Linked DNA regions of Nothobranchius furzeri. The protein of the gene in region 3 interacts with the protein of the main gene of each other region in a pairwise test. Links are inferred from orthologs where the notes say so. Each region holds a gene or a part of one and is shown on either strand. Other genes may lie near its edges. The genes, in order: mettl17, bag3, sf3b4, ppp1r16b and cwf19l2.

What was found.
Region 1: the proteins of sf3b4 (region 3) and mettl17 interact in binary tests that used the Homo sapiens proteins (3 or more experiments, as listed by UniProt). The link is inferred for Nothobranchius furzeri from reciprocal best matches to the Homo sapiens genes SF3B4 and METTL17.
Region 2: the proteins of sf3b4 (region 3) and bag3 interact in binary tests that used the Homo sapiens proteins (3 or more experiments, as listed by UniProt). The two-hybrid records come from large-scale screens. The link is inferred for Nothobranchius furzeri from reciprocal best matches to the Homo sapiens genes SF3B4 and BAG3.
Region 4: the proteins of sf3b4 (region 3) and ppp1r16b interact in binary tests that used the Homo sapiens proteins (3 or more experiments, as listed by UniProt). The two-hybrid records come from large-scale screens. The link is inferred for Nothobranchius furzeri from reciprocal best matches to the Homo sapiens genes SF3B4 and PPP1R16B.
Region 5: the proteins of sf3b4 (region 3) and cwf19l2 interact in binary tests that used the Homo sapiens proteins (3 or more experiments, as listed by UniProt). The two-hybrid records come from large-scale screens. The link is inferred for Nothobranchius furzeri from reciprocal best matches to the Homo sapiens genes SF3B4 and CWF19L2.

Annotation. Positions count from the first base shown.
Region 1 is NC_091751.1:41,153,267-41,157,415, forward strand, and holds the start of mettl17 (ribosome assembly protein METTL17, mitochondrial), read right to left. Parts: upstream 2,801-4,149; 5' UTR 2,675-2,800; coding exon 2,606-2,674; intron 2,168-2,605; coding exon 2,026-2,167; intron 1,919-2,025; coding exon 1,769-1,918; intron 1,692-1,768; coding exon 1,604-1,691; intron 1,535-1,603; coding exon 1,453-1,534; intron 1,363-1,452; coding exon 1,289-1,362; intron 1,217-1,288; coding exon 1,122-1,216; intron 1,050-1,121; coding exon 979-1,049; intron 837-978; coding exon 729-836; intron 341-728; coding exon 272-340; intron 191-271; coding exon 140-190; intron 62-139; coding exon 1-61. Other genes in the region: parp2 (poly [ADP-ribose] polymerase 2), read left to right, coding at 3,178-3,250, 3,812-4,021, 4,116-4,149. UniProt on the Homo sapiens protein: Mitochondrial ribosome (mitoribosome) assembly factor. Binds at the interface of the head and body domains of the mitochondrial small ribosomal subunit (mt-SSU), occluding the mRNA channel and preventing compaction of the head domain towards the body.
Region 2 is NC_091752.1:5,539,779-5,542,989, reverse strand, and holds part of bag3 (BAG family molecular chaperone regulator 3), read left to right. Parts: intron 1-2,542; coding exon 2,543-2,875; intron 2,876-2,965; coding exon 2,966-3,211. UniProt on the Homo sapiens protein: Co-chaperone and adapter protein that connects different classes of molecular chaperones including heat shock proteins 70 (HSP70s), e.g. HSPA1A/HSP70 or HSPA8/HSC70, and small heat shock proteins (sHSPs), e.g. HSPB8.
Region 3 is NC_091759.1:1,629,946-1,634,123, forward strand, and holds sf3b4 (splicing factor 3B subunit 4), read left to right. Parts: upstream 1-1,377; 5' UTR 1,378-1,612; coding exon 1,613-1,646; intron 1,647-2,082; coding exon 2,083-2,211; intron 2,212-2,296; coding exon 2,297-2,839; intron 2,840-2,933; coding exon 2,934-3,104; intron 3,105-3,329; coding exon 3,330-3,476; intron 3,477-3,571; coding exon 3,572-3,720; 3' UTR 3,721-3,899; downstream 3,900-4,178. UniProt on the Homo sapiens protein: Component of the 17S U2 SnRNP complex of the spliceosome, a large ribonucleoprotein complex that removes introns from transcribed pre-mRNAs.
Region 4 is NC_091743.1:61,148,143-61,152,270, forward strand, and holds the start of ppp1r16b (protein phosphatase 1 regulatory inhibitor subunit 16B), read left to right. Parts: upstream 1-1,323; 5' UTR 1,324-1,468; coding exon 1,469-1,736; intron 1,737-4,128. UniProt on the Homo sapiens protein: Regulator of protein phosphatase 1 (PP1) that acts as a positive regulator of pulmonary endothelial cell (EC) barrier function. Involved in the regulation of the PI3K/AKT signaling pathway, angiogenesis and endothelial cell proliferation.
Region 5 is NC_091753.1:35,505,597-35,509,614, reverse strand, and holds the start of cwf19l2 (CWF19-like protein 2), read left to right. Parts: upstream 1-1,209; 5' UTR 1,210-1,265; coding exon 1,266-1,358; intron 1,359-2,227; coding exon 2,228-2,338; intron 2,339-4,018.

The DNA.
Region 1 (4,149 bases), on a different chromosome or scaffold from region 3:
GGAAGTTGCAGGGTGTGATGGGCTCTCGGGCCAGTTTGGGACACATCATCTCATGGGGACACTGAGGAGTAAACAAAAAGAAGCTGCAGCAAAAAATGCAACGCCGCAAACCAAGACTGATGCTTTTCCTTTAACCTACCGGGGCGAACACTCTTGCTGGTCTGGGGTCGTGAACAATCTGCTCTTGTTTCTGTTGTGCAATTTATTAAACTGTCAAAACTTTTACACAGAAACGCCAGGAAAGAACCAAGCGGCAGTTTCACTGGAGTACCTTTAGTAAAGTGTCTCTGGCGTCCATGAGCATCTGATGGCCCTCTTTGGTTCCGTTTTCCACCAGAACCTGAAGGACAAAGTGTGGAAAAATAATGAAACACAGCTTAAAATAAGCTGAATTTTTTTCCACATTTAATTTCTCATGACCTGAGTTTTAATTTCAAGTGCATTTTTAATTTCACCTAGCTATTCTCGATTTGTTGGACCTCAGAAAAATAAAAAAACAAACAATATTGAGAGCATATTATACAAAAACAAAAAAAAACCATTAAAATATTTTTAAAATGTTAAATTACATAAAAAATATTTTAAAAGAGTAATAAAAGCAGGTCTAAGATTAACAGAATCAAATATTACAAGGCAAGAAGCCAATGTCGACACGTGAAGGATAAACACTGGAAAAAACTCAGAAGGCGTAAAAGGAAATATAAAGTTGAATTATTGATCTAACCAACCAGGTAGGAGGATGTTTTTCTCCACAGAGTGATCACAGCATCTTCTCGCTCCTTCACGCTGGGAAGCTCTGACAGAGTGAAAGCAGCCGCCACCAAGTCAAACTGAACCTGAGGAGAGAAACTGGGGAGTCAGATTTGTAGCTTTTATTACCAATTTTAACATAATTAAGTTAATCTGAGATTGCTTTCTCGTGGTAAATCCAGATCAGCATTTCCTCTGTAACAAAACCAAAAACCTGGGATGTTTTACCTTAGGAGAGACGGGAAGAAATCGTCTAAAATAGACGTGTTTGAAAAGAGGTTCAGCCTCCTCCTCATCACCTGCGCAGAAGAAAGCACATTCAGCATCTTCTAAAAAATGTTCTGTTAATGTGACAAATATAACAGATCAACCTTTAAGAAGTCGCTCAGCCAAAACGCTCATAGGCCCAGAGCTGTCCACACACACCATCTCTTTTAAAGAGTCTCCCCAGTGCAAGTGTGATGCCCTTTGAGAGGCAAAAAAACACACACACACTTAACCTCATTTAGACAAAAAGGGTTTTAATTTGCACACTAACCAGGCAACTGTTCCCAATCCTGACCCAAAATCCAGGAGAGATTGAGGAGCAAATGAGGGATCCCTCTTCTTTATCTGAATGAACACAAAAACACATCAGTTTTAATTTAAGAGTGATCAGAGGCACGTACAGGGGCTAAAGTCTTCCACAAATCACTTCATTACCTCATTTAGAGCTCTCGTCACTGCTGCAAAACCTCCAGCAAGCCGCGAGGCCATGTACACCACCCCCAGCTCTTCATCATACCTGAAACACAAAAAGGGCCGGTTACGAACCAAAACTCTCAGATTAAGCTGAGTTCTAAGTTCTGATTACTTCAGGGAATTCCAGTGATATGTAGTTTGTCTGAGCTCTGAGAGAACCCTTTTCCTGATCTGATTCCTCAGCGCTTCCTCGTCAATATCTGCAAAGAGAAACATATTTATTGTCTCCAGGGGCTGCTACATGGATACATCGTTACTTGATCCCACCCTCGCTCACCTCCCATCTTCTGCATGGCTTTCTCCCAGAGTTCTTTCTCCAGACCCAATGCTTTCTGCCTCAGAGTCACGTCCTCAACCATCCGCTTTCGACTCCACAAGTAGTTTATGAGTTTGTGACAGCGATCAGTAAGCTGGGTCACCTGAGCTTCTACACAAAGAAAAAACAAACATGTGGGAAAATTGTCAGTTTTATTTATTATTATTATTATTATTATTATTATTATGGCAGCTAGAGTTGATGACAGCTGATCTCACTTTGAATGACTGACTGTGCAGCAACTTGGAGCTCCTGGGGTAGCCGAAGTGTATTCAGGCTGGTCATACCAGGATGTTTCCTGTGGGGTTCTCCTTTAAGGAAATCTGCTTTGGGCTGTGGGTTAGCAGCAGCACTCACAGTCTGGAATAAATTATTATTACAAAGTGTCAGAATAGGAAAATGAAAAGCAGAGTGGCTGCATTATATGACTTTGTTAGAGTACATAATCGACATATAAAAATATGTGTATGAGGTACATGTTTGTTTGCATATAAATAATTCCAAAAATATACAAAAAATTTATGTAAGGTGTGAAGAAAGCACAGTCTTAGCAAAATATTAAGCAGTACTAGAGAAAAGAAAAATACAGGAAAACAAGGAAATAAGGACATTAGGATAAAAATACTAGTCACTGCAAAACTGTGGAAAGAAATATGAAAACAAATAATTTTATGTAATATTCAAACCGGGCTACTTTTCTACAAACTGACATGTCATTTACAGACCATAAATGTACACAAAACATAAATGACCTCCAGTGAAAATGATGCACTCAAAGACACCTGGTGGAGTACTTACCCTGAACAAAATCTTCACCACAGCCACTCTCTGACTGAGACCACAGGCTTTATAGCTACTTGATGCCATGTTCTCGGTGTCTAAACGGCACTGAAATATTGGTAAACATTTACTTTCATCCACGCTATTGTAAAGCACACCGACCGACTGATTTGCATCAACAAAATAATTCCGGCCACCACTGAAAGTGGAACCATCGAGCCTTAAAGATTTGTTCCTACACGAGGGAAACAAGAAGAGTTCTTTCTCTGATCTTGTTTACAGATACTGGCTAACATTCGGAAACAAATAGCACATAAAAGAAGGATTAGATTAAAAATGTTTGTTTTACCACATATACATCATTAGAAAAATCATTATTTGGTTGTAAACAGATGTATATTGCTGCGTTGCTAACTTCTGTATTCATCGCTAGTTAGTTACGAAGTGCGGCATCTTTTTAATAAACCATCTTCGGTAGGCTTTGCTCTCTACAGGCCTATCCGAAGAAAAGAAAGTTCCCGCCGTGTTTTCTACTGCTTCTCGATTTCTGCTTTTCCTGCTGTTAAATAAACTTGTTTTGATACACAAACATGAGGCGAACCAGAAGTTCGAGAAATAAAAGCCAGCGCGCACAAGAAAACCACGAAGTCCCGTCAAAAACAGGTTGGTGTTTGCTTTTAGCACATCATGGAAGGAAGCAGTGTAGCCATTAAACATGCCCGGACAGAGAATTAGGTTTTATTTTCATCTTCACAATTCTTTGGTAACTATGTCCTGCACTACCTATTACTTATATTTGACAACATTTGTGTTTTAACTAATTGAATCAAAACTTGGCGCGAAAACTGGTGAAAAGCACGAATATTAAGCAGTTCTGGAGGAAATCACTAGAATAAAGTGACTCACTGCTACATTTAATTAATTTAGTAATAACTAAAGCCTCGTTTGAGTGTAGAAAAACAATATAATGGCTCTGCAAAGTCCAGTTGATTAACACATCTTTGTTTAAAAAGTAGTAAAAAGAAACTACATAATTACATTTAATGAATGAAATCAACTCAGGGCAGAAATTTGATGTTTAGAAATTGATTCATGTTTTATAAAGTCATATCAGTATTTTATAGTTCATAAAAGGTCTGTTGTGGAATATTATTTTCAGTTTTTCCTATAATGCAGCACTTAAACAACTGTTTTACTGTTTTCTGGCTCTGTTTGTGATCACAGTGTGGCAGTGGAAAGGAGATGAAGGACAGTGGGAATCGTACCCGCCTACAGCCTGTGCCTTGCTTGATTCAGCCATTTCTTCAGGGAGGACATCCGTCACTCTGACTCTTGGCTCGGGGGCAGCATATGAAGTGGATTTGAAGAAGATGGTCCAGATTAACCCTGTGACGAAATACAAGAGAAAAATCCGCTCCAAGACTGTAAAAACAGGTGTTTTTTATTTATAGAAATCAATTCAGACTGAAGATGGCAAGACACATTATTTGTTGATCGTACATTTGTTTTTTGTTGTTTGTTTTATAAGAGAGTTTACAGGAAGCTGATGATGAGGCTGCTCA
Region 2 (3,211 bases), on a different chromosome or scaffold from region 3:
ATAGAGATCCCTCTAATCCATTATCCATTAGAAATAAAATACTGAAATTTCCTGACTTGAAAATATTGTAAATAATGTACAGAGCGAATACGAGTAATTTACCAACTAATATTCCGAAAATGTTTCATAAGAGAGTAAGTGGGTACGTGTTAAAAGGGACTGATGTCTGATGTAAACCTGAATTCAGAATGTAATATTTCTGTAAATGGTGTAAGATTGTGGAACGCCCTTAACAGAGAAATTAAAGAATCAAACTCACATGCTATAAATATTTAAAAATGTATAAAATCAAATGTATTAAGTAATTATGAAAAGGTAAACTAAAATGTCAATGATTATATATAAACAGTAGAACGGGACTAAGGTTATATTGTGAATGTTATGTGCTCGTTTTCATTCAAATGTTTTTTTTTCATTACGTTTATGTATTTGTTTGTGTTTATTTTATAAATTTTGAATGAAATAAAAAGAGTTTTAAAAAAGCATTTGTGACTGGTCTCATCACTGTGGAGGATTTTTTTGACGCACTCATAATTCAGCCTCATTGGAGAGTTTTTTTTTTTTTTGCATGAGTGGTCTCTAAGGTCAAAGGTCAGAATTTCTCCTTCAGGATGTTCTGCTAGAGAGCAGAATTCACGGTTCCACCAGTTGCAGCAAGATGTCTACTTCATGTTGTCACACAGGTTGTATTGAACTGATTTATTAATCCTGCAGGTCTGGGTGTTGCTGGTGGAACTGAACTAAGATTTGGACTGATTAGTTCCCTTAATGAATGAAATTATAATATAATAGTAATACATAATATTATGTATTTGTTCATTTTAACTTTCTCTGATGTTGAAATGTGTTTGTTGTTCTGAAACATTTAACTGTTCGAAAAAACAAGAAATCTGTAAACGGGTCAATTCTTTTTTTCACAGCTCAGTTGATTAGCTTCTAAAAATTTCTACTTTTATTGTGTTTATTTTGTTTTCCAAATGCATCCTGGAATTAATTTAGCGTTTTTAGATCAGCCCCAAATGTTTAGAAACAACAATCTATAACCGCCGTGTGGCGTAAGTCTAATTCAAGATGGCTGCTGGAAAAAGGTTTTTAACCGGGTCAGTTACAAAATCATGATGGTAACAGATTACAAATGCTCGTGTGATGTTGAGTGGAAAAAAATCAGGCAATATTTAAAATTCAGCATTTCACCAAAAAGATTCCAACTTTATCAGAGACAAATAATTTTAGTGCCCTCCATTTTTATTATGAACGGCCCTGAATTAGTAAAATGTTAGCCTAGAAATCCACACAAACCGGAGCGGTAGCTAAAGATTTAGCTCTGCAGGTCAGTTTAGCCACACCAAGCCTCAGCAGGTCTACCACTGGCCTGATCAGTTTTGAGTCTAGCCAATCACAGCGTTCTACATTTGTAGACACGTTGGGCGGGCTTAGCACCAGAGCGGTGACGAAGAAACTTTAGGGGTCGGCTCAGGAACTTTGGACGATTTAGATGTGGGCTTTTCTTAGAGTCAAGAGCAGATAGAGGTACTTAAGTCATTTAATTTGAAAAGGATGTATTTGCCTGTTCTACTTTGACGGAATGTCAGACTGGTTACCGTGGTGATGAATATGTCACGTTGTTCTGATTGGTCCTAGCAAGTTGGGCGCAGATTGTTTGAAAGACAACCGTAGATCAGAATCAGAATGGTTTTATTGCCATATATGCGAGAAATCACAACATTAGGAAACCGCTGCGGCACTTGGTGCAAAAAAGAAAGATAAAAATGAGAGAATATAGGAAGTAAGAATATAATCATGATAAAATAATAATATAAAGTGGCAATAATTAGAGAAATGGCTACTATGTACAAGACGGTGCAGGTACTGATCAGAGCAGATCAGTTCAAGAACGAACACAACACAGGGTCATGTGACTGAAACCAAGCGACTGGAGTGGGCAGCCCTAGGATTGTCATGAGTCGGGGAAGAAACTGTTCTTCTCTCCTGGCAGATGGTAGCGAGTCAAAAAGACCGTGTCCACGGTGACATGTCAGCTGTGATCCGACCTGCACGCCTCGGTGTCCTGGAGGTGTACAGGTCCTGTATGGGGGGGGAGTTTGCAGCCAGTGAGCTTCTCAGTAGAGCGTACAACACGCTGCAGCTTCTTCTTGTTCCTGCTGGTAGCTCCAGCATACCACACTGAAGAGGTACCGTGTGCTCCTAAAGCCCACAGCAACCTCCGCTGTCGTCTGTGCATTTAGCACCGGGTTGTTGGAGCTGCACCAGGACACCAGCCACTCGACCTCCATTCTGTAGGCAGACTCATCCCCATCACAGATGAGTCCTGTGACAGTGATGTCATCTGCAAACTTGATAGGTGCAGCCGTTGGTGTAGTTACTACCCCACGACTGAGTTTTGTCTGTGGGTTGTGGCCAGACTTTATATTTACATATACAGGAGGGTTTGCAAGGCTTGCACGTAGGACTTTTTCTTAAAAAAGGTAAACAATAACAGCTGAAATTCACTAAGTCTTGTCCATTCAACTTTGGGTTTCAGTGTCGAGAAGTGTCAGCGAATGGGCCCACCGTTCCAGCAGAACCAACTCCTCAGGAGCCTCCGAAGACCTTTGTGAGGGAGATGAAGCACCCCATTCTTCGTCCCGGTTATATACCCATCCCAATCGTCCATGAGGGATCAGACGTGAGGCAACCGCAGCATCCGTGTTACTCTTACATCCAGCCATCATTTGCACAGAACATCGGGACGGATGTGCAGACTCCGGCGTCTGGGCTCCACCACGGCAGACCCAGATCGCCTTTACACGGACCTTCAGACAGCTGCACCACTGAGCCTGGAAAGGCCAGCTCACCAGCTTCACCAGTCACAGAGGTAGGTTATGAATGTAGTTCCACCACTAATCTAGCAATATTACAAACATTTAGCCTTTTATTTAAATGTTACTGCTCTGTTGTTTTCAAGATTTACCCTGCCTCCCATCACCAACCGCCACGGTCCAGCAGCACCGGCCTGCAGCTCGGTTACATCCCCATCCCGGTGATCCACGAGGGTGGGGGGGGCCAAACGCAGCCTCAGTTAAACTCCTCGGTCTATTCTCAGCGCATTCCCTTCTCGGACCACCGTCACCAGACAGAAGACTGGCCCGGCTTCTCTGCTGCTATGCAGCCCCCCAGGGAGAGGGCTTCTCCAACAATATTCACCCCCCAT
Region 3 (4,178 bases):
TTGTTAAGTGTTCTATTCTAAGCTTCTGTTGATTAATTGACTATTCCATCCGACAACGTTTCAAGCGAAAAAAAACTGGTTTACTGCTAAAAAATATGAAATAAAACAACAAAATTATCAGGCTGAAGTATATAAAAGGCTCAATAATATGCATTATGGTTTCGTCCATCATGAACAGCCCCCCTCCTTCCACTCTCACTGAGACTTCTTTGCTTCGTTCAAAAGAGCCAGTCTTTTGAGCGGCCCTTTGAAGACGTAATTATTTTTATTTTTATGAGCTTTACTATCTATTTGTGGTATAACGGTTTGTGACTAAATGCATTATGGGATACTTTTCTGGTCCAAGTCCAAAGATGGATACTTTATTGTAATGGGTGAAGGACGAACACATCCAGGAACTTTGAGCGTACTTGCCATGATGCGTACTTGGTATTGGAACAGTACACGGGCTAACGCCAATGACATTTCACAATTAATATAGTACACACGTTTAAACAAGTACTCATATTGCAAAACAGCCTATAACTTGTTTTTTTTAATTAGTCTAAACCTTTCTCTTTCTGTGGTCTTTGGTGATTGCCAAGCAACACTTCCTAACCAGGAAGCAACTTGGTTCGCTCCCTGCTAGCCAAACTATCTCTAAGTATCATGACAGTGCTATACTTTCTCATATTTATGCCATAATGTCAAATTATTTCTTTATTATGTGACAAATATTATGAAGGTTAAAAGAAGGCGATTGTGTTTATGAACACCGGGTTTTAGTGAATCAGCTTGTGAAATATGTGTTGCATTATTTGGTTTGTGTTGTGAAATTCTGTTCTCGTTTTAGGGGCCAAAAAAAGAAAATGTAATAAGTGTATTTGAGCAGGTTTAATGAGTGAGCCTGGAGGTCTTTAATTTTGTTTATTTTTAAGGTTTACTTTTTAAAATAAAGTTCAGTAGATGTATTTTTCTTCACAAGCCATTAATTATTCTCAGCTCTTTCAGTTATTTTAATGACTATTATCTATGAAGGCTCCCTTACTGATGCTTATTTTAAATTCATTTTATAAACAGCTTTGGCAACAGTTTTATTTTTTGTCTTTGGTGCATGATGTTAGTTTCTATTTTTAATGTGTGTTTTATATATATATATATATATATATATAAAAAATAGTTACTTTCTAAAATTTTTGAGACCCTAAATGTGTGTATTTTCTATGAACACTTTGTATTCCATGTTTATACCTTTAGTATATTTATATGTATATGAAATAAATCAAATAATAAAAATAATTGTGGCTTTGTTTTGAATTTGTTGTTAATGGTTAAGTGCCATACAACTAAAAATATCCCAGAAAAAACTATCAAATCAATTCAAATGAAACTTAGTGATTTTGATTGCCTTTCAAGTTTTTAATTAACATTCATTTATTTGCTGTCTTTTTTTGTTTAGGAATGTCTGGGTCTTTAGTGTAATCAGAGTATAACAATTTTTTATGTAACTACAAAAACAGAAGAATTAGTTTATTTTTACTTTAATTTATTTGATCTTATTTTATTTTGTTGGGTTTTACCGGAAGAGGCGGGCCTTCCCTTCACAACGCTCTCCCAGCGTTGGTCATTCAACATGGCAGCGGGACCAATTTCAGAAAGAAACCAAGGTAATTTCATTGTTTAAATGGTTTAACGCTTACACCTTCATTATTTAGCGATATCTCTTGATTTATAACAATTGAAATTCTTATCCGCTCTTTCCCACCAATGTTAGCTGTCTAATTAGCCCGTGTTTTGGGGGTAAATGCGTACTCAAACACATGGAAGTCTCCGGTCTCGTTAGCCTAGCTTCTAGCTAAGTTAGCCGTTTTTTGTTTATTTTAATTGTATTACTTAATGCTTGTATTACTTAATGCTTGACTTCACGATAGCATACGGGAGTTTTATGTTGTTTATTTGAAATGCAGAGATTATTCCAAGTCAGGACTAGAACCACTAAACAACTAAAGTTAGCCTTAAAAACTCGCGACATTAGCATGTAGCAATGCTCACCTATCAATGTAAACACCGTTTTCCTTAATAGGTATTTTCTTGTGTTTCCAGATGCCACCGTGTATGTCGGTGGTTTGGATGAGAAGGTGTCAGAGCCGTTGCTATGGGAGCTTTTTCTGCAGGCTGGCCCTGTTGTCAACACACACATGCCCAAAGATCGGGTCACAGGTCAACATCAAGGTGAGAATCAGGCTATTCAAGATGGGATGAAAGTCCTAAAATTCACTGTAACAATGTACATAACAAATGAAACTGTTCCACTCAGGTTATGGATTTGTGGAGTTCCTCAGTGAGGAAGATGCTGACTATGCCATTAAAATCATGAACATGATTAAGCTCTACGGCAAACCGATTCGCGTGAATAAGGCCTCCGCCCACAACAAAAACCTGGATGTTGGCGCTAATATCTTCATCGGGAACTTGGACCCGGAGATCGATGAAAAACTGCTCTACGACACGTTCAGTGCTTTTGGCGTTATTCTACAAACTCCAAAGATCATGCGAGACCCAGACACCGGCAACTCCAAGGGTTACGCCTTCATCAACTTTGCCAGCTTTGATGCGTCCGACGCCGCCATCGAGGCCATGAATGGCCAGTACCTGTGCAACCGGCCCATCACTGTGTCGTACGCGTTCAAGAAAGATTCTAAAGGAGAACGCCATGGCTCAGCGGCAGAGCGACTGCTAGCTGCACAAAACCCTCTCTCGCAGGCAGACAGGCCACATCAGCTGTTTGCAGATGCTCCGCCCCCACCATCTGCACAGACGCCACTCCTAACCGCAATGGGCCCCGGGATTCCTCTTCATGGTATGACTGCTCTAATCTTAACTGCCGATAAAGAAGTACCTTTCTACATTTATTGGGTTAATTATATAATAGTTTTGTTTTTTTTTTTGCGCAGGTTTGCCGCCTCCTGGTGCCTTTCCTCACGTTCCTCCCCCTGGATCAATGCCTCCAACGATGCCCCCTTCTATGGGCATGCCTCCATCAGCAGGGACACCAGGTCCTCCATCTTCTCTTGGTGGACCTCCAGCTGTTCCTCCACCTTTCGCACCGGCCAGCATGCCTCCAGGTATAACTCGGTTGCAGAAAAGCCTGAAAATTTAAGTCTCTGCTCCCCATTTTAGCTTTAAGAAGTCCAATAACGATTAATAAAATTGTGCAGGATCAACCTCAGTCATCTCCTTCAAATGTGAAGAAATAAAAACAATAATGTTTCAATTTAAATGTCAGGTTATTAAAATGCAGCTGTTAGCCCTGAATGAGTTATTTTTATTTGTTTGATCCGGGCCCACAGGTATGCCTCAGATGCCCATGCCGCCTGCTCCTCCTGGCATGGTGCCTCCACCTGCTCCACCAGGATCGGCTCGAGCTCCACCGCCCCCCAGCATGCCCCCACCTCCTATGGGCATGCCTCCCAGAGCACCGTATGGACCCCCCATGGGTGAGCACTGTGGCATTTTCTCAAAAATACAATTTTTTTTAAATGAAAGTTGTTTTTAACCTGTTATTTCTTTTTTTTTTTTTTTTTTTCCCAAGCCCACCCTGTGCCTCCAGGTATGAGAGGACCTCCCCCCATGCCTCCTCCCGGCTATGGTGCCGTTCCTCCTCGTCCACCTCCTTTTGGTTTCCAGAGAGCACCTCCAATGCCACCAAGACCTCCCGGTGCCCCTCCTCGGGTCCCTTGAGAGCACCAAGAGCTCCGTGATCCACGTCAGACCACAGGAACATTCAGCTTGTTGTTTTTTTAAATACATGTTTCGATCTACTGGATTTTGTTATCTTGGAAGTAATTTAACCAACTGTTTTTGATTTATGCTCATTGTACAGATAAACAGAAAATTGGCAAATAAACATTTTAGTACAACTTTTGGATATTTTTGCGTTTAATTATTACTAATAAACTTGTAATGTACCAGAAATTAGTTTATGAGTAAAAGCTGCATAATAAGCAGGTGAGAGAGTAATATGTTCTAATTTATGTCCAAAAGGTATTTATAACTTGAGGCAGGGGCCCCAGTAGGTCATATACTCTCAGGTATTATGGTTTTATTTAAAAAGTAAAGTGATATTCCCTACTGTTGGGATTAAAATCCAAAAATATTTTTAAAAGAATTTTTTTAAAATGTTTTCTTTGGACATTTAT
Region 4 (4,128 bases), on a different chromosome or scaffold from region 3:
AACCGTCAACGATGTCGGGCTGTCTGAGTCAAAACTCTCAGATGGAAAACAAAAATGTACCGACAGCTGAAGGATAAATTGGACACCCTGCTGCTAATCCTCTTGTGATCACCCTCTGGGTCGTGACCCAGCCGTTACAAATCATTAGCTGCATTAAAGATTCTCACAGCACGCGCTTCTTTCACGGAGCTGACCCCATCTCAAACTGTTGTTCTATTTTATCTTAGATGTTGATGCTGAAAAGTCAACTATTCATTAATTTCACGTGTTCTCCCGTGGAAGGGCTGTCTCATCTTTGCGCTCGTTGTGAAATCAGATGAACTTTGACACAAACAGAAACTCTCAGCGCCGGTAAACCGATGATGGAAAAAGATGCTGTAGTAAGTGATTGTTCTGCTTGTTTCCTGTCCGTGTTTTTTAACAGCTTGGGTATGAGCTGCAGAGGAAATATAGCGTGAGCATGGTGGCAGTCTGGAAGTGGCAGCGCGGTGCTTCGTGAAGTGTTTCATCAGACGGTGCTGCAGGACAACGCGGCTCCTGTAGTGGAAGGCTACAAACATGAGGAAACTTTTCATGCAAGAGGCGTTCATGTTTTCATTTAAAAAGCAATGAGGGCTTTTGTTTTTGCATTTTTCTATTGGGCTTTTGATACTTGAGGGCTCTCAAGTAGACTGATGTTACTTCATAAAGTGTGTTTCAAATGTCCTACACGTGTAAGGACGATTTGTTTATGACTGCTGTTATAAAGGGTGCAAAAATGTAGAGCAGAAATGCACAGAAATCCCCTTTTCAGCTCATTGGCCCAACACTTCACCCCTCCTTCTCATCAGTTTTTCTCTTTGCTTGCAGCTTTAAGGAAGCGGTTAACCTTGATGGTGGATGGTAGACAGATCTATAGCAGCTCACGAAGCAAATGGAAAACTGTGTCCGCTTTGATCAATCCTCTGGTTTCAAACGGAAAGATTTAGCGCCATTTTCAGGAAGTTGATTTTGTCCTGCAAACTTGAATTTATGTATGGTGTAAAAATGGTTCAAAGTAATGCAAGAATGGTGAGAATTTGTGAGAAAAGGGACTGCAGTTTTGTCTGAGTCTGGTGCTATTTGGCAGGGAGCAGACCGATTGAGAGTAGCTCTTGCCAGTTTAGTAGCTTAGCTCTAAATTGTTGCTCTTTACTGTTGAACTGAAGCAACACTTCCTGAGAGAATTTGGTTTAATATTTTAAAACATTCGTGTAAAATCCAGTTAACATTGTGAGTAAAATAAAAAGGATGATAAGACAAATGTTTATATCTCTGCATGTCTTCTTCCAGGTGTTTCACAGGTGCTGAAAGAAAGATGGTGAGGATAAAAGGTGGAGGCCACAGCCGACGGTCCAGACCTCGCTAGAGTTGCACGATCTCCATCGTCTCACCTCTTCACCATCATCATCGTCTTCATCCACCACTGCTGTCCATCCCACCTAGTACCATGGCCAGCCACCTAGAGCTGATCCAGGAGCTGCAGCAGCTGGACAAGGTGCCAAGTCTAGAGAGGCTGCGGGCGGCCCAGAAGCGCCGGACCCAGCAGCTGAAGAGGTGGGCCGTCTACGAGAAGGAGATGCAGAACAAGAAGCGAAAGGCGGATAGGAAGGGACGAAACGGCAACAACCTGCAGCAGTCAGAGTTCAGGAGGCGAGTGTCATTCGCTGCCAGCGTGGCGCTTCTGGAAGCGTCGGCCAGGAATGACCCAGATGAAGGTTTGTAATATATTATAAACATAGTTTATTTATTCCTAAAGCACAAATGCATTTTGGGTATTTTGTTGTTTTGTTGCAGCACATGAATAACTACGTTAATACCAGCCTCCCGTCATTCCCCCTCCCAGATATCCAAATGCCAAGGTTATGAAAACGATTAGCTCTGCCTTCCCACTCAAGCAGCCCAAGTCACTCCATTCAAACCAAATTTGTTCTGCTACATGACCGTTTTATCGCTGGGGAAATAATGGACTTGTCACACCGAGATGAAACTCTGCCAGTCTTTTAATTGAAAATGCTGTGCATACTGCCCCCCTGTTAGAAGATAATAATTGTTTTCCTCCTGTAGAGGCAGTTCCATGGGGCCTTGGCTATGTTTTTGTGATGCTGCGATGTCAAAACGCTGCTTTCTCTCTTATATGGTGTCTTATTTAACATCACTTTAACATGAAATTGGTTTGAAGTCTTTTACCAGAATAAAAATGGCCCACAGCAGTGTCGCTGCAGATACAGATACCTCCACAAGGCTGCGGTGATTCTAGGGTAAACAGGCGTGAGCTGGGCGTGTGCAGGATGCACCCAACATGCTGCAGTGTCACATTGTTTTGGAAGTGATTTCAGCAACATTTTAAAGGTTGTTATTTGGCTGCTGTGCCACGGGGGAATTCTCCTCTTTAATGTTTTCACGTTCAAAGATGGTTGGACAGGAAGTCATTTTTGCTTTACCACCACATTATCTAGAACAGTGGTTCCCAAACTTATTTAGCCGCGCACCCCCTTCTATGTCCCGACCATGTCGACGCACCCCCCCCCCCCAGCCCCCACATTGGAGCATGGCTCTATATATATATATATATATATATATATATATATATATATATATATATGTATATATATATGTGTATATATATGTGTATATATATATGTATATATATATATATATATATATATATATCAGATGTCAAGCTAAACAGACAGGGTTAAAAAAATTCCCCATCACTTTCATTTTTTAAATAGTAATTAATAAACATTCGATACCATTACAATTTCCTTTGATTTAATTTTAAATAAATATTAAGAGTGCCCAGGTAGCACATAAAAAATGCAATTTAACAGTTTTCTTAAAGTAGGAACGTTTAACCTGTGCGGCCAGAGCGCTCTCCTTCCTTCTGCTCTGCGTAAACCTGAACTGATCACCTACTTGTGCGTAATCAAATGTCAATAGGGGACAAGATATAGCCATGATGTTCACTTTTACCTCAGACCGACTTATTGCTGTTTTATGGTGTGGCTGAATCTGCGATCCGCTGCCACGCTGACTGGAGTAACAAATGGTGCAGTAACAGGACTTGTGGTCAGGTTCATGAGGAGTCACTGGCTGTAGTGGACCCGACTCATCCCAGAAGCTAATATCTTAATTTGACCTTGAATGAAAAATAACCTCTTAAAAGTTTTTATCACGGTGGAGGCAGCGTTCATTTCTGCCTTCAGTCTGACGGCGCGCCGGAGTTAAAGCAGCGTGTGCGCTTATTGAATCTGTGTGTATGTGTGTGTGCGCACGCACGCGCGGCACAGCCGCTCAAGTCACCGCTTCTCGCGCTATTTAAACCAATGTTGTAAAATGACTTCTGCCCAGCCCAGATGTGCTCACTTGTGCATCCGTGAGCCGTGATTCCGCTGGAACGCGTCTGACCTCTGACCGACGCACTCTGAACTTCAGATCTTCAGCGCGCTGTTAATAGCCTGAATGGGAATCATTTCTTGTTATATTGTTTCATCCACAATGTTCTGTGTGTGAGGTTTACAATGTCAGAACACCTGTGTGAGACAGGTGTTAATTACAATCTGCCAGAATGACTCACCACCTTCAGATTCCTCCAACACCGTTAAAAATGATCAAATACTGAACATATCGGCGTGCGCAGGCCAGAGTGCTGAAGCTCAGCGCATTGTTATTATGAAGCTAGGGCACATGTGGAGGACGCGCACGCGCGCAAAAATATACTTGTTTTCAATTACATTTATTGTGCCCACTTACTTTTTCTTTGGCCCACCCATATAAGAGTTTCTGGCTACGCTAATGGTGACATATGACAATCTTCTCTGAGCTCCGCAGCCATTACACTTTTCACCTCGCGCACCCCCTAGCGGCAGCTCGTGCACCCCCAGGGGTGCGCGCACCACACTTTGAGAATCCCTGATCTAGAAATATGCAAAGTCGTTGAAAAATTTGTCATGTCAATTTTTAATTATAAAGCACTTTTCATACCAAAGGCAACTCGAAGTGCTGTACAGAAAATAAAACAATAACCACAATAACCCTCCCCCTCAACCACACACACACACACACACACACACACACACACACACACACACACACACACACACACAC
Region 5 (4,018 bases), on a different chromosome or scaffold from region 3:
CTTAAAATATGGACCGGAAATAAAAAATTGATCTTGGATATGACAAAACAATTTCTTGTGCCTTTATTTTGCATTTCCCTAGCAGTCATTACTTGATGTGACTGTGGATTTGGGGAACATCTTTAATATATGTAATTGCATTCTAAATATAATAACCAGAATGTATGATTCGTACCTAGTGACAGATCTGATTGCATTCACATACCTTCAGTTTTTTTATTTTTACACAGTGGTACATGGCCTGTATTTGTATAGCACCTTCTTAGGGTTCTACAACCCCCTAAGGCGCTTTACAACATCGTGATGAGCTACAGTGTAGCCACAGCTGCCCTGGGGTACACTAACAGGCAAGACCTGCTGAACACTGGTGCTGCTGGTTCATCTGACCACCACCAGCAGGAAAAGTGGGTTAAGTGTCTTGCCCAAGGACAAAACAGCAGCATTCTCTGGTTGAAGCTGGGATCGAACCTGCAGTCTTCGGATTGCCGGACAACTCCCTCTACCTCCTGAGCTACTGCTGTCCCAATGTTTCAGTTCAGCACATAGACATCACATCAAAGTCAAATAGAGGAGAATAAGTATTTGACACATCAGCATTTTTATCAGTAATGGTTTTTCTAAGTGGGCTATTGACACAAACTTTCCACCACATGTCAACATCACCTCAAGTATTTAATTCATGCAAAGACATCTAAACATTTAAGTCAATTAATTGATTTATGTGTAATAAAGTGAAAAGACACAGGCAAAATGTATTAAACACAATGTGCCAAATGCCCAGTGTGGATTATAGCAGGTTGTAATCACTTATGAACACAATTTTACAGCTGCATGTTATCTTTTTTTGCTAAGCAGCTTTACACACATACACACACACACACACACACACACACACACACACACTAAATAAAGAAAATCTCACTCCAAGACTTTTTTTTAACAGAGGTGACCGTTAAATTTTTTTAGAACATTATATATATATATATATATATATATATATATATATATATAGAGAGAGAGAGAGAGAGAGAGAGAGAGAGAGAGAGATAGATAGATAGATAGATAGATAGATATATTAGTTGTGTTTATAATATTTTATAAGTAAATATATTATTTAAGTTCTATAAGAAAATATATATATTTTTTTTCATATTATTTAAATTGATGCGCCTGTCCTTGGTCCTTTTGCACTATGAGCCACAAGTCCTCAGTTGACGTAAACTGCGTTGCTTTACGACAGTTGACAAAACATTCACGACGGTGTCATGGCGACGTATGGTGTTAGTTTTGAGAGTTCGAGCAGCATCGACGAAAAGAAAGAGAAAAAGAGGCAGTCGCGAGAAGAGGTGCTAGAAAAGGTACGCGTTTGCTTTGGAAAAGCAAGATTCACGTGTAACAAAAGGCTATTTCGTTGTGTTAGTTACGGTTTAAATCGTACCCCGAGTTTCTGAGTATAAGCTAACACGCTAAGAAGGCTAACAGCTAGCATTTTAACGTTTGGGTACATCATATCTGTATATCATTCTGCTGATGTGTACTACCTTGAAGATGTATCCGGACAGGAAATTACGAGTCAAACACTGACTCGGACAGATAGCAGAGCTGCCTTTAATTTGTGTTGTATTTGTCTCAGTTATTTACCATGCCCAGTGAGTGTTTGGATTAGAGCAGGTTGTCAGCACTTATGTACACAATTTTACAGTTGCATGTTATCTGTTTCTGCTAAGCAGCTACACACACACACACACACACACACACACACACACACACACACACACACACACACACACACACACACACACACACACACTATCTATTTAGCTCACCTGTGTCTGAATTGACCAAAGTCATAATGGTGGCTGGATCTGATTTATGAAGCTAAGTTTTAAAGAGGAAATGGCTCAGTGTGGTTTAGGAGCTCAGTGTTGTCAACTTGTCTTTTCAAACGATCTTCTCCTTTACACCTCACCTTTTAGAGTAGAGGAGGTAGATGTCAACAAAATAGAAACTGCTTAACTGAATCTTTGTTTTCTTGGTTTACATGTTTTATCATTAATGTCAGACCAGCAGATCTTCCAGAAATACATTTTTACATCTCTGGGAATGTGGAGGAGAAAATGAGAAGGGAGACATAAATTGGACACGTAAATTGGTCCTCTGATGCAATCTAAATGTATGTGTAATAGTAATATTTTGTTTCTGTTCATATTTCTATGCGGGCCAACAGGCAAAGCAGCAATATGAGAAGGAGGAGAGGAGGAAGGAGCTGAAGAGGCTGAGAGGAGAAGATACTTGGATTCTCCCTGAAGTCAACCAGAGGCTGCAGCAGATAGAGGAGGTAAGTAGGGGTGGGTGCAATTAATCGATGTGGCGATGCATCTAAAAGCTTAACATGTTGTTTCGGCATCGATTAATGAACGTCAATGCTTAAAAAAACATAACATCAAAGTTTTGTTGCGAAGCCGGTACTTAAAAAAAAAAACGTAACCGGAGCCTTAACGCGCGCCGCCCGGACTGTTTAGTGAGTGGCACTAACTCTTTGACCTCTTTCTCCATCTTGGAGACTGTCTCCAAACTACCGAAGAACTCAGAGAAGGCGAGGAGCATTACAAAAGCAATAGCTACTGTAATCGCGACGGATCTACACCCGTATTCAGCAGTAAACAACAGGGGGTTTCGGTTAGTGGTGCGCACCATGGAGCCGCGCTACAAACTTCCTCACCAAAAACACTTTGCAGAAAAAGAAGCCCCCCACCTCTACAAGGAAACCAAAGCAAGCGTTCTGGAGTCCATGAAGAAGGCAACCGGGATAGCGCTCACATGCGATGCGTGGACATCGGTTGCCACCAAATCCTTCGTTACTGTAACGGCGCATTTTGTTCTTGCGTCGGACAAGAACGGGTGGAAGTTGGTGAGTCACGTTCTTCAAACTCGAGAGATGAGTGAGAGTCAAAGTAGCACAATGTTGACATTTGCCCATCTCACACAACAGGAGGATGTAGGGGAACAAGAGGGAGGAGAGGGAGTATGAGTGTCACTCTGCTCTATTTTATGTTGTTTATGTTGTTTATGTTGTTTATGTGCTTAGCAGACGCTTTTACCCAAAGCGACTTACAATTTATTTTTTTTAACCTATAGGGCATGTTGTGATTTTGTTGTGTTCGCCTCACTGTACTGAAGCTCCAGGCTGAATATATGTTCAGTTGAATTATGCACTTTTGTTCTGAAAAAATACAACATATTACCTTCAAATATAGCAGGTTTTTTCTGTTACCTATATTCCAGACTGAATAAGCTGAATTTATTTATTTGATCTGTATGGCAGCTTTTTTTGTAATGTTATCATATGCCAGACTCATAAGTTTCCATTAAATAAATTTGATGGAAGTAAAAATCTTGTTTACTTGAATTAATTACCTCATTAAATCCAGGGCTTGCCTGTTTTCAGTGTTTCCCAACAATGGAGGGGACACTAGTGTAAGTAAAGCTTTCCCTGATCGAAGTTAAGTTGGTCAAAGTGCAAATATTTACACGTCATACAGTCATAAAATAAGAATTTGTCTTTGAAAAATAGTTAAATGTTAAAAAAATGTATTTACTTACAGAGAGTAGTTTTAGAGGAACTGAATTAATTGATAGGTTAATTATTTACAAATGTAGATAAAGAAGAAGACAATCTTGTATGAAAAAAGCATTAAAAATGTCAATAATCGAAGAATCGTGGCACCAGTAATCGAATCGAACCAAAAATCATTATAATCGAAGCATCGAAGCTCCCATAATCTAAATCGAATCGAACGGTGAAGTACCCTTTTTGGAACACCCCCAGAGGTAAATGTCACATTGCTTTTAATTCAACAATGAAAAGCATCGCTATTGCTGTGCATGGAAAAAACACAACTTCTTGTTTCCAAAAGATGGTTACTTCCCTATCATTGCAAATGACAACTAATTAGGAATGCACTGAACACAGTCAGCAACATAAAAATAAGTTAATGTTAGTAATCCAATGTACCAA